3 linked regions of the Bombyx mori genome follow. The protein of the gene in region 3 interacts with the protein of the main gene of each other region in a biochemical or structural test. Links are inferred from orthologs where the notes say so. Each region holds a gene or a part of one and is shown on either strand. Other genes may lie near its edges. The genes, in order: caveolin-3, parafibromin and tyrosine-protein phosphatase non-receptor type 11.

Region 1 (4,208 bases), on a different chromosome or scaffold from region 3:
TGACCCGGAAGACTAAACAGAACTTTTTTATGGTATTGTTATGTGATGTTAAGTCGTTACTGGAACTCATAAAGATCATAAGGTGAATTCAATCTCCCACCTTGAGACATGAGGCCGAAATCTCAATTGTATTGAATAACCGCTGCATGACCTTTCAAAACTAAAACACGCGTCACGACTACATCGCGGCCTTGATATGTAGAACGATGATGTAGGCTCACAAAAACACTACTTCTCAATCGGTTTCTCTTTGTTGAGGAACGTGACTTTTCTATAGTTTTTTCACTGATTTTCTCCACCTATCCTTACCGTTTGCCACAGAGCTTTGTTGACTATCATTTCTAACTGCTGGACTTTTATTGCTTAGATGGTTGGACGAGCTCAAAGCCCACCTGGTGTTAAGTGGTTACTGGAGCCCATACACATCTACGACGTAAATGCACCACCCACCTTGAGATATAAGTTCTAAGGTCTCAAATATAGTTACAGTTGTGCTTAGTGCGAGATTTTTAACGTCCTTGATAGCATAAAAGCTAACTCAAATTTGTATGGAGTTGGAACGTTTGACTACGTTTGCCGCTAGGGGCGCTGTTCCAACTGCATACAAATTTGAGTTAACTTTTACGCTATCGAGAACGTTAAAAACTCGCACAAAGCACAATTAATGCATAAAACGCCTCGTCAGCACTAAATTGCTCCACGAAAGCTCTTTAGCCATTCAAAATAAACGCCAATCTATAAAAAGCACTAATAATAGCTACTATCGCGTTTTTAATTTATATCGGGTATTTATACCTACGTCTAACGATAACTATTGTCATAGAAGAACTGACATGCGCATGACATATGACGTTGTAGAAGGAAATGTTTTTAGTTATGTAAAATAGTGAGCATTTGGAAAGTTGTGTCGGTGGTTAAGCTTAAACAAAGTTTTTGCTTGTAAAGTTCGAATTGAATTTTTAAGTTTTTGTTTGGTTTAAGAAGACTTAAATTTCTAAAATTCGTAGACCGGAAACTTTTTTTTTTCTTAACTCATATTTCTAATGTAAACTATATAACTGTAAATTCAACTTTTGGAAAACCCTAACTTTCATTAAAGTTTTCTAAAATAGTGTAATAAATGGCAAAAATTAATTATAGCTTTTAGAGTATGCCTTCAATTTTGATTTAAACTTGGATGACGATATTAAAGCTATACTTTAACTTAAAACCAAAAAAGTAACCAATAAAAAAAACTGAAAAATATCGCGAGAGGTGCGTTCACACCCGGCGACGTGGCGTATGAAGACGTACCGTTGGGATCCGGCGGTTCCGCCGTCCCTTTCTCTCGCTCGACGTCCCGTCAGTGTATAGCGTGCGCTCACAAAGCCAAGCTGTTGCCGAACATAGCTGAACCGGCTTCCGCTCCGCCGGTACTCATACCGACACCCATACCGGACCGGACCGAACCGGAGCTCACCGAAATACTGGAGACGGTTACGATCACGCCGCCTATTAGGACAATGACGGCGAAATCGGAGAGTGGAGTTAGGGAAGCGTTGGAGGACAGAGATCCTAACAACTTGAATCAGCACTTACAGGTACCGTTCTGTTGTTTGTTTGGGATGCGATATAAGTTCTTTTTACTAGCACATACCTATGGACTAATGGCATAACTGGTGTTTAGCGGTAATTGGTGTCCATAAGCTATAAATACTTCTCTGCAGACGTCTTTACGTAAGGCAGACAGCGACTTGGCTATGCCCTAAACTTGCGGAAGTCTATAACTTACTGTAGCCACTTACCGTCAGGTGGGCTGTATGCTCCTGACGTCTGCAGTCTGTCTACAAAGGTACTTAAAAACGTAGGGAATTATGAGTGTGTTAGTATTTGTTTGCTTTTTGCGAGTCGTAGACATATTTATTATTACCCTTACGACTTAGTCTCGCTTTGATTGTTGTATAATAGTTTCGAGTATCAAATACTTTTCAGTCTTTGTGGTCGCGAAGGCTAAAGTGTTGTATGACGATATTTTAAAATTGCGCTACTATGGGTTAGTACCAGCCCTTTAAATATTAAGGATGTTACTACGAATGTGCCCTTTATAATAATCAGATTTTTATACCTTAGAGTCTTGGTTTTATTATTGATCTGAGTCGGTGTGACGGTCCGTATGAGTATATTTATTCTCGTTTCGTAAGTGTTTCCAGTAATCATAAGCTGAAAGTCAATCCAGGACTGAGTTCACTAAATTACATTATTTTTAATTTGTATGTTGACATTAATTACTTTATACATTTATTTAATTGTTGCTAAATTTTAAATAGGAATATATTTGAAGTTGTTCAGACTGCTCTTTAGCCTATCTTCTCAGGACTGAGGCTCTTTAGCACCGGAAATACTTTATTTGATGATTCGCTAATTACGTTACACGAGATTCGATTTGAATTATTAGTTTTATTTCAATTGTAAATATTTGTTAGCTCTATTTAATTTGATGCAATACTACCATTACTGCCTAATCTCAAAATTAATTTTGCGAAATTGCCAACACTGTACCTAGTAAGAGCAGTTCTTCGCAGAATCTCCGACCGGATTGGACACGCGAAGCGCGAACCACTAAGAAGATCCGGCGAGAAACTGAGTGAGCTGTGTCTGTGGGTTAGTTTACTCGCCAGCTCCTTCGTCGCAAGTGTCGTCGCTTGTTCGACGTTCGACGTGAACGATAACCGGTGCTTGAGGGTAAAAGCACCGTTAGAGGATCGGGAAGGATATGAAATGACGTGTTTTGAGCGTCGACGATTGTTTGCCATTCGGTCCGCAAGATCGAGACTGTAATGGGTAGATATTCTCAATGACCACTACTTATCTTTAGTTAGCTACCGAATCGCTTAGATTCAACAAACTAAGAATGTCGCCGAGCCACGAAACTTCACGGCTATTTCTCCTTAGAGACTTATATTCATTTCGCCCAAGAAATGTATGATACGGAGATATCAGTGCCTGTGTCTAATGCATTCCCTATCCAAGACTCAACATAGGTATTAGGGAAGAATTCCTGGAGAAATAACCCATTCCATCCCGAACCATTTCAGATGTTTTAAAAGAGATTAAATTATATTTTAATAGGATTTGACGTTAAAATTATTGCTTATAATGTAGCATAGTTTTTTGACATGGACCATGCCATTTAAACAATTTACTCATCTTTATGAGTTTACAAAAAAACGGGTAATAATTATAGAGCATAATATTCAAATAACATCTTTTGTAGTTATGCAAATACAACCCTTAAAAATAGATTCGTGTTTCAGCGCCGGACGCGAAATTTACATAAAACAACTGAATAAAAAACCCGTTCATGATATGTGTTATGTTATTTTGTTTAAGTGGCAAATGGAAAATGAAGGTCGAACCATGAAAAGCCCTTCGTTAGGTGACGTCATTAGCCGGACTGGTATTCTTTGTTTACTTTGTAACAGTTCGAAAAAGAACGCCATTTTATTGTTATTGCTACGCGTCTACGTAAAGGCGCTCTAGGTATATATTTACTTAGTGAATCATTATTATTTTAGGTTGAATTGTTTTTACATCCTTTTGGATTTCCGGAGCTTGACTAGCTTATTAACTATTGGAAATCTCTGGCTTTGGAAATTAAAATTATTTAAACGTTTTTCCTAAAAGTATTAAATACTGTAAGCAATGCCTTGAATCCTATAGGATTCTTAATATGCGCTATACAATCACGATACTTTAGTGATATTAATCACCAGAGATATTAATTTGTTACATCAAGCGAAACAGCATATCGCTTCAAATAGCCAGTTTAAAATTATTTTATGTTAAGCTAACGCCATAAGATTATTAATAAAATCAGATTTAGTGAATAATCAACGGAACCCACAAATTCTGTATTCGATACAAATATGTACTGGTGGAATATTACTGGTAGTAGGAGCTCTTGTGTGTCCGCACGGGTAGATACCACTGCCCTGCCCATTTCTGCCGTGAAGCAGTAATGCGTTTCGATTTGAAGGGTGGGGTAGCCGTTGTAACTATACTGAGACCTTAGAACTTATATCTCAAGGTGGGTGGCGCATTTACGTTGTAGATGTCCATGGGCTCCAGTAACCACTTAACACCAGGTAACACCAGACCGTAAGCTCGTCCACCCTACTAAGCAATAAAAAAAATTGAAAACAGTAAAGTGTACATATAGTGTAGTACCG
Region 2 (4,167 bases), on a different chromosome or scaffold from region 3:
TACTACACCCTAATTAGTGATCTATCGGAAGCCAAATTTGCAGTTGTTTCAATAACCAATTCAATAAGTTACCATCCATAAAACGCACATGACTACTTCATGCCAGAAAAGACAAAACTAAAATACAGACTCTGTATACTCTACAAACCTTCCTTTTGACGTATAAATCTTTCCTGATCGTATCTGTTATACTGTGTCTGTTGTGCAGGTAATACAGTAGGCTGTTGCAAAATAACAGGTTGTGCTCTCGGAATCCCAGGTCTACCTTCTTCTCTAGCTTTGATGCTCGCCAAATGAGCTAATATGCTTTTAGCAAACATCTACAATATTCAATTTCATTTAATATATTATAATTTTAAAGATAACACCATCAATTATTAAATTGTCTTATAATAGATCTATAATGACGCATGAATGTAATGAAAATTCAAGAGTAATCAATTTGTATTATGCAGACGTATCTAATTACAACACTTCTCACATGTGCTAAGTGGAGAATTTTAAAGATGTATATTTTGTAATTATAAATACTTAGCTGTCTACTTACTTTCCCATTACTTTGTAATACTGTTGTTCTTGTCCGCCACTGCCTTTCTCGGCTGATGATATCTTTAGTAAGATCCACATCATAGTCAAGAATGGCTCTTAAGTCTGAACCGACTACACCCAATGTATCAGAATAGTCATTGCTTTTGATTGTGGTTCTTTTCTTAGCTAATCGTTTTGCTTTGATTGCTGCAATTTTTTCTACAGACATAGCTTCAGAAAGGGATCTAAAAATTGGAAACAATTACTCAATTAGAAGAGAAAACACTTATAATTTATTTATTTTCTGTACATATTGATATTTATACATATGTTTACACCTATTTAGATATCGAATATTTGATGTGGTGACTGTGTGGTGTGGATCATCTTTTAAATCAAAAAGATTAGAGAAGGGGTAATTAAAGATTATTGATATAGAAAAAAAGACAAATACCCAAATTGTTTGCTTAGAACTAAAGATTTTTTTTAAATTCATTTTCTAAATTTCATCGAGAGCCACAAGGTACTTTAGACTTGGTCTTCTTAAGTATATTTATGATTAAAGAACTACACGAGTTTTATTGTGATAAAACCTATACATGTACAAATTTTAAGAGATCTTGGAACACTGAATTTGGAGTACTTCATGATGAATGATGATATACAGTTCTTAGATATAATTCACAAAGTCTAGGTGAATTTATGTTATCACACTACATTTTGTTAATAATAAAAAATGCCTAGAGGCAATGACAATGACCCATAAAATTGCAAGAAAACGACCATAGTTCCTGTTCTGTTAAGGCAAATAGACTACACACTACTTGGACCTTTGGCCACCTTCCGTGAACAACAAATGTAATTTTTCAACATACAGAAGACTGATAAAAACAATTAAAACAACCTGAAGTAAACCTATTATTTTTTTGTCGATTATTTTAGCTGAATGCAACAAAATCACCAAAATGGTTCAGTGGCCACTGGCCACAAATAAAACTAGTTTTTACTGATAACTGACCTCATAGCATCTTATTAATTATTAAGATATTTATGTTATTCTTTCATGCTTCATACTGTTTGCAAACTAATGGCATAATTAATTCCATTAAAGCTTCTGGCCCCTAATTTTATAGTCTAAATTCGTAGTACAATATGATTGGACAAATTATGTATACATATTTGATTTGTCTTTATTGTTAAAGCTCATTTCCATTAAAGTAATAGGAATTGCACATTTTTGCACATGATGAAACTACTAACTCATTGAGAATGTACACCTGATATATTTTGTATAATAGTAGGTTCAGCTAAGTGATATAAAATTAAAAAAATTAATATTATTATAAATTGGATGAATTACTTGATATTGTCCACTGTGACTGAAGCTTCCTTAGGGGCATCAAGCCTGGCTGCCAGTTGTTCTCGGACCTTCTGAACATGAGTTTCCTCAATTCGAGGTTTTTTTGCAGCAGATTCTCCTCCATCATTATCAAGTGTGCGTTTCACCTATGTAGTAGTTTAATCACTTAATAACTTCAATCAATAAATGGGAATAAAATTCACATTAATTGGTCCTACAGTCTAGTCTAGTGAAAGTGTTATTTATAAACTTTCTTACTCACTTGAGTCGGAATTTCAAGGGGTGCACTTTTATCAATAGAGGCACAAGTAGCAGTCTCTCCATTTAGATATGCTAATAGCTCTTTACGATCTGGACGACGCACAGGTGGTATATTTGCAGCCTAAAATTTTTTTGAGATCAATAATGTGTTATGTGGAACATCAACCATACATGTTTTATTTATAACTAAACTTCACTTACAGCAGCCTGCCTGACATATACTGGATGAGTCAGGTGAATGTTCTTGAGAATAAAAAGAAGGCATTCCAAGGTGTAATACTCTTTAACGCTGCCTTCCTTTCCAGATCTAAAAAATTGCATAAATGGGTACAATAAGGCTCAACATTTTCAAAGTTTATTTTCCAATAATAACACAAAGTACTTACCTCCAAATAAGATAGTTTGTCTTAACATTTTTTGGCCAAGAGAATTCACCGAATATTATTTGGTTATCGCGTTCAATTATTTCTCTTTTATTTACGTTATACTGACGAAGTAAACTGAGTGGGTCCGCCATGATAACTTCACACTCAACTTTATGTTTATTTTCTCTCGGACTAGTCAAGTAAAAATAATGACACCAATTCTATTAAATATACTGTAAGTAACTTTACACCCCGGCCTAAAAAACTAACCGGGATAAACAGAAAACGAAACACATTGAACATCCATGGTGAACATTTCTAAAATAGTAGTTCCATTTTTCTAGCTGAAAAGGCGTAGGTATCAAACCATACAGCCTTATCTTTCGTATGTGTCTTTTTAAAAATTATTTGGAAGGAAATGAAATGAAGTTGATTAATTTGAGCCATTAATAATTTGGAATGAAATCAAATGAAATGAAATTATATAAGGCCAAAATATAGTGTCAGTAAAACAGTGGTCATTTACTAAGAATTTTTCAATGGAATTATTGAAAGAACTCGAGAAGCTACGACAAGCTGCTTCGTTTCATTATTTTACATCTATGCACTTTCACAGATGCTAAACAGTTAATAAACCACCGTTATTACACATTTAAACCAGAAGTACGCTTCACGTGTTCCCGCCAATGTCCAAATTTTAGCTTACCCACTTAGGTGGGTGAACGAGCTTAAGGCGCACCTGAAGTTAAGTGGTCACTGGACTCCATAGATATCTATAACGTAAACGCTGCCACCTACCTTGAGATATGAGTTCTTAGGTCTTAGTTTTTACAGTGCAACGGTTGCTCTATCCTTCAAACCGAAACGCATTACTGCTTCACGCCAAAAATAGGGATTTTTTTATAGGCAATTTATAGGCAAATAATAGTTTTTTTTTAAGTTTCGTGTGGACTCACAAGATTTCCTACCACTAGTAATTACGCATTTGTTATGTAATTATTTCATTAGAAAAATTGGTGCCTGGTGCCTGCAGGATTCGAACACCGGTGCATCGCAAGACACGAATGCATATCCTTTCGGCCACGACTATGGAGGGTAGAAGTAAGGAGTGCCATCTCAATATGTGAAAATGTGTCAGCTGAAAGGGAATGAATTATGGTAGCGCCATACTAGCAACTGGAAATATTTTAAAACAGTGCCACAAACCTATCATTGTATTAAAATACTATAATAGTATAATTTACTTTGAAGTCATCGACGTGGTGGCCTAACGGATAAGACGTCCGGTGCGTTCGTGTTGAGTGATACACCGGTGTTCGAATCTCAGGTGGGTACCAATTTTTCTTATGAAATACGTACTCAACAAATGTTCACGATTGACTTTCACGGTGAAGGAATAACATAGTGTAATAAAAATCAAACCCGCAAAATTATAAATTTGCGTAATTACTGGTGGTAGGTACTTACTCTCTAGGTGGTAATTACTCTTGTGAGTCCGCACGGGTGGGTACCACCACCCCGCTTATTTCTGCCGTGAAGCAGTAATGCGTTTCGGTCTGAAGGGTGGGGCAGCCGTTGTAACTATACTTGAGACCTTAGAACTTATATCTCAAGGTGGGTGGCACATTTACGCTGTGGATGTCTATGGGCTCC
Region 3 (4,241 bases):
TAAAACAAAATACAACAATAAACACGAATGACAACTGGTGACAAAATACACAAATAATTTTGGATTTATTGAATTGTGAAAAAATTAAGAACTGAAAAAAAAACCGGAAATGTTGTGCCCAGAAGGCTCTCAGCCTGAAAATGATACGTTATCCAAAAGCAATGATATCTGCCAAAAGAAACCAAACAAAGTTCCTGCTGAAGGAACAGACAGCTTGGAACTAACTTCCTATAAAAATCCTAAGACATGGAAGAAATCGATTTCTAATTTCTTCAGAAATCAACTACGTTCAACTAAATCCAATGAGGTAAGCATTTGCATTAATACAATCTGTTAAGATATTTTTGCCGTTGCTAAAAAAAATATTTTTCAGGGTGATCGGCCTTCAGGCAGTAAAGATAATTTTGAGGAAAAAGAGATCACTCCTGACCAAAAGTGGCAATCTTTGGGGAAAGTATTTCGTCGTCAAAGCTTTGCCGAAACGTGGAACAAGTCTCCTAAATCGCCAGGAGAAAATTCATCTCACAGTAAAAGGCTAGCGGTAAAAAAGGTCATTTCATCTTACTTTGGCAAAAGTCAAAAAGTTACGTCGGCGGATGGTGAAAAATAAACATGTACACAAATAAAAATGTTATACAGATCGTGTTGTATTTTAAATCACTAAGTTCGTTATTTGTAAATTTCACTTAACTAAAACATAAAATGTATTAAAACAATTTGAAAACAAGTAATTTAAAATGATAGACATGAATCATGTATGAAAATTATTTACGTTCAAAATGTTTACTTTGTCAGATATATACGAATATTCTTATGCCTAAATTTTAATTCATATCTGAAACTTCTCTTTATACTACTCATTAGAACATACTACAGTTATAAGAACCAAGTAGTATGATTGTGGTCCTTGTTAATTCCATTGAGGAAGGTCCTTAACGCACTAAGAAAATGCTCAAAAACCACCTTTTGTGGATTTTATGTAATTCCAAAAATTAAAGTATCGAACAAAATAAATTTCTCAACCCTTAAAGATAATACAAAAAAAATTAAGATAATGACCAAGGCTATTTTACTTCTATCTGATGAACTAACTGTATACAATCTTTCGTATAAGACCTTTTGTTGTATTCTTTGTATATTTTCTACGGTTTGAGTGAAAATAAGGGAAACATCCGATAGTAATAATTGCAGTACCTACCTACATCAATCATAAAGCAATGTTAACACAAAATATATATCGTTTGGTACGAAGTGCTTTGTTATTGTCCATTAATTAAACGCTTGGAAATTAGGTTATAGCTCATTTCTAAAATTACCTAACACATTAATTTATAGTAAGATAAATTTTAAACGTTCGAACTAATTTGTATAGATAAAATAGTATAGAAACAAAATTGGAAGTTCGTTCAAAAACCGATTGACATTCTGTTGACAACTTGTCAAGGCACAAATGGGCTACAAAATCACTAGACTGACATTTCTCCAGGCAACTCAAAGAACAAAATTCATTTTCAGCTTTTCGTGCTAAATAATTTAATTTACGATTTATTTTGTTTAATAACACATTTTCATGTTCGTTTATGCTTTTAATTACAACATTAGGTTAACATTCGAGCCGTGCCAGTGTATTCAGTGTATACGCCCTTGAAAATCGTGTGTAAAAAATCTAAAGTCAGCATAGCAACAGTACTTAGATCCGTATAATTATTATATTATGGGATACCGCCGGGATTGTACATCACGGGTGCCTTTATGAGGTGAGTAGTGTGTGTTGTGGTCGATATAGGCGAGTCTAGTACAAGGAAAAAGCGTAAAATGAATAAAGAAATGTACCTTTGTGTTACATTGCCATATATACATATAAGTGCAAGGCTATATGTCACTTTAAGCCAGTCGAGAACACAATAATAAATTAGCGAATTGTAATCCTGTTGCCTATTTTTTCTATTTATATTGCGATATACAAATCTGCAAACATTTTCCATTTAATATATTTTTTCTATATGCAATACCACTTGATATCTAACAGAAACCAAAACATGTGGTAAATCAATAACTTTACTTAAGTTTCCAACAACTTGGTTTTGTTTTCAGCAAAAATACCCAAATAGGTTATGAATCTCGTAATTCAACAAAACGAGCCATTTCTCTGATTCATCTAAAGTTCTATCACCATTCATATATCCCAATAGGAAGGTAGGGAAAAAGCTTAGAGAGTAAGTTTAAAACTATATTTTGCCAAGCTTTTAACTCTAATGAACACACATCACATACTTTTAGCAAAGTGAAAAAAGGTGTTACTGAATACTAAGTTGCTGAAACTGCAAACCCTCACTCTAGAGACTCTGCTAATTATGAATTTATACTTTATGTCTAATGGTAACAACTTAAATGGGCTGTTAGCATGTACCTACAGCAATATCAATGAAAAAATAGTATGTGCACCATGGGAAAAAATTAGGACAACTCATCCCGCGTGTTTGGCAACTTTACACGCGGGAGGAAGTGTCCTACTTTTCTCCCTTGGTGCACAATGTACTATTACTTAAAAAAAGTCTTCAAGGAATCTGTAACAGTCATAAAGAATTAAGATGTGTAATAAAAGAAAAAGAGTACAACATCCAAAAAGTTTAAAAAGCATCTGATATTCTAAGTAGATATTATAAAACAAATACACACAATAAAAACATTTAGGTAATATAAACATACAAAGATACTTAAATAAATAAATACACAATGTTTATATTAATATGGGCCTTTAGTACTTTGAAAGAATTTAAATCATACTCTTTTCTGGCAGTATAAGTTAAAACATTCAGAATTTATCACAGTTTATTTCCAATGTTGAAATAACTTGGAATAATCTCTTTCAAAATACTCTTTCAAAACAATTACGTTAAAATGTAAATTATATTATGAAATGAAGAAAAAATAATTAAGTATTGTTTTCATTATTTCCAGATGGTTGATGAAAATGTACGGGCATTCAGAAGTGAACAAGAAAAAACACTGAATTAATATTTAAGGTATTGTAAGTTGCAAAAGTGGTGCTTTCTATTAGTGTAAGATGATAACTCGAAGATGGTTCCACCCCTCGCTGAATGGTGTGGACGCGGAAAAATTGCTCATGGAGTGCGGTCACGATGGGTATTTCCTGGCCAGGCCAAGTTCAAGTAATAAAGGAGATTTCACTCTCTCCGTCCGAAGAGGAAATGAGGTCACTCATATAAAAATTCAGAACAACGGCGAATTTCTCGATCTTTATGGAGGTGAAAAATTTGCTACCCTGTCAGAACTCGTCCAATATTATATGGACAATCAATGCCAGCTAAGAGAAAAAAATGGAAATATAATTAGGTTAAAAACGCCTCTCAACTGTGCAGATCCAACAACCGAACGATGGTACCACGGGCAGCTCACTGCCAAGGAAGCAGAGAGAATGATGATGGAAAACGGAAAAAACGGGTCGTTTCTCGTTCGCGAATCCCAAAGGCAACCTGGCGACTTCGTGTTGTCCGTTCGCACGAGAGATCGAGTTACACATGTGATAATTAGGCGAAAGGACAACAAATATGACGTAGGTGGGGGGCAACAGTTTGACGATCTCGTAAGTCTAATAGAATACTATCGTAGTTTTCCCATGGTCGAGACTACTGGTGAGGTACTAAGATTAATCCAACCCTTCAACGCTACACGTATACAGGTAAGACATTTTCACACGCGCGTAAAACAACTTCAAAAGGAAAACGAGGGACCCATCGAGAGCATGGCCTACAAACAAGGTTTCTGGGAGGAATTCGAAACGTTACAGATGATGGAGAACTTGCAGTTGTTCGACAGAATGGAGGGTTCGAAACCGGAGAATATTAGGAAAAACAGATACAAAAATATTATACCATTCGATCACACGCGTGTTATTTTAAAGGACATCCCCCCTGACGGTCCTCCGGGCTCAGATTACATCAATGCCAACTACATTCGATGTGACAGTATGGATTCCATTTCCGATTCCCAAGAATTCACAGGGAACGGCAGCACTGAAAACGGCAAAGACGGTACGCCGTCGAAAGCTAAAGATAAATCATCGCCTGTTCATACAAGCGTTATCGTAACTGAAGAGCCGGTCAAATCAAGTAAGAAGGTGCACGGCAACGGAACACACAAGCTGCCGGCGTTCGAACCGAGCGTTCTTCGTCCCAACCCGAATTATTTCAATACGACAATACCGAAATCAGCGACCG

Evidence for each region.
Region 1: the proteins of tyrosine-protein phosphatase non-receptor type 11 (region 3) and caveolin-3 form a complex in vitro, tested with the Homo sapiens proteins (2 studies listed by BioGRID). The link is inferred for Bombyx mori from reciprocal best matches to the Homo sapiens genes PTPN11 and CAV1.
Region 2: of the proteins of tyrosine-protein phosphatase non-receptor type 11 (region 3) and parafibromin, one has a biochemical effect on the other in vitro, tested with the Homo sapiens proteins (2 studies listed by BioGRID and IntAct). The link is inferred for Bombyx mori from reciprocal best matches to the Homo sapiens genes PTPN11 and CDC73.

Annotation. Positions count from the first base shown.
Region 1 is NC_085111.1:986,499-990,706, forward strand, and holds the start of caveolin-3, read left to right. Parts: upstream 1-1,327; 5' UTR 1,328-1,502; coding exon 1,503-1,580; intron 1,581-2,104; exon of another isoform or gene 2,105-2,199; intron 2,200-2,538; exon of another isoform or gene 2,539-2,811; intron 2,812-4,208. UniProt on the Homo sapiens protein: May act as a scaffolding protein within caveolar membranes. Forms a stable heterooligomeric complex with CAV2 that targets to lipid rafts and drives caveolae formation. Mediates the recruitment of CAVIN proteins (CAVIN1/2/3/4) to the caveolae.
Region 2 is NC_085121.1:7,757,482-7,761,648, forward strand, and holds the start of parafibromin, read right to left. Parts: upstream 2,882-4,167; 5' UTR 2,667-2,881; coding exon 2,536-2,666; intron 2,457-2,535; coding exon 2,351-2,456; intron 2,271-2,350; coding exon 2,151-2,270; intron 2,035-2,150; coding exon 1,889-2,034; intron 774-1,888; coding exon 548-773; intron 321-547; coding exon 149-320; intron 1-148.
Region 3 is NC_085119.1:16,186,276-16,190,516, reverse strand, and holds the start of tyrosine-protein phosphatase non-receptor type 11, read left to right. Parts: upstream 1-1,427; 5' UTR 1,428-1,757; intron 1,758-2,961; 5' UTR 2,962-3,067; coding exon 3,068-4,241. Other genes in the region: uncharacterized protein LOC101736406, read left to right, coding at 110-307, 374-610. UniProt on the Homo sapiens protein: Acts downstream of various receptor and cytoplasmic protein tyrosine kinases to participate in the signal transduction from the cell surface to the nucleus. Positively regulates MAPK signal transduction pathway. Dephosphorylates GAB1, ARHGAP35 and EGFR.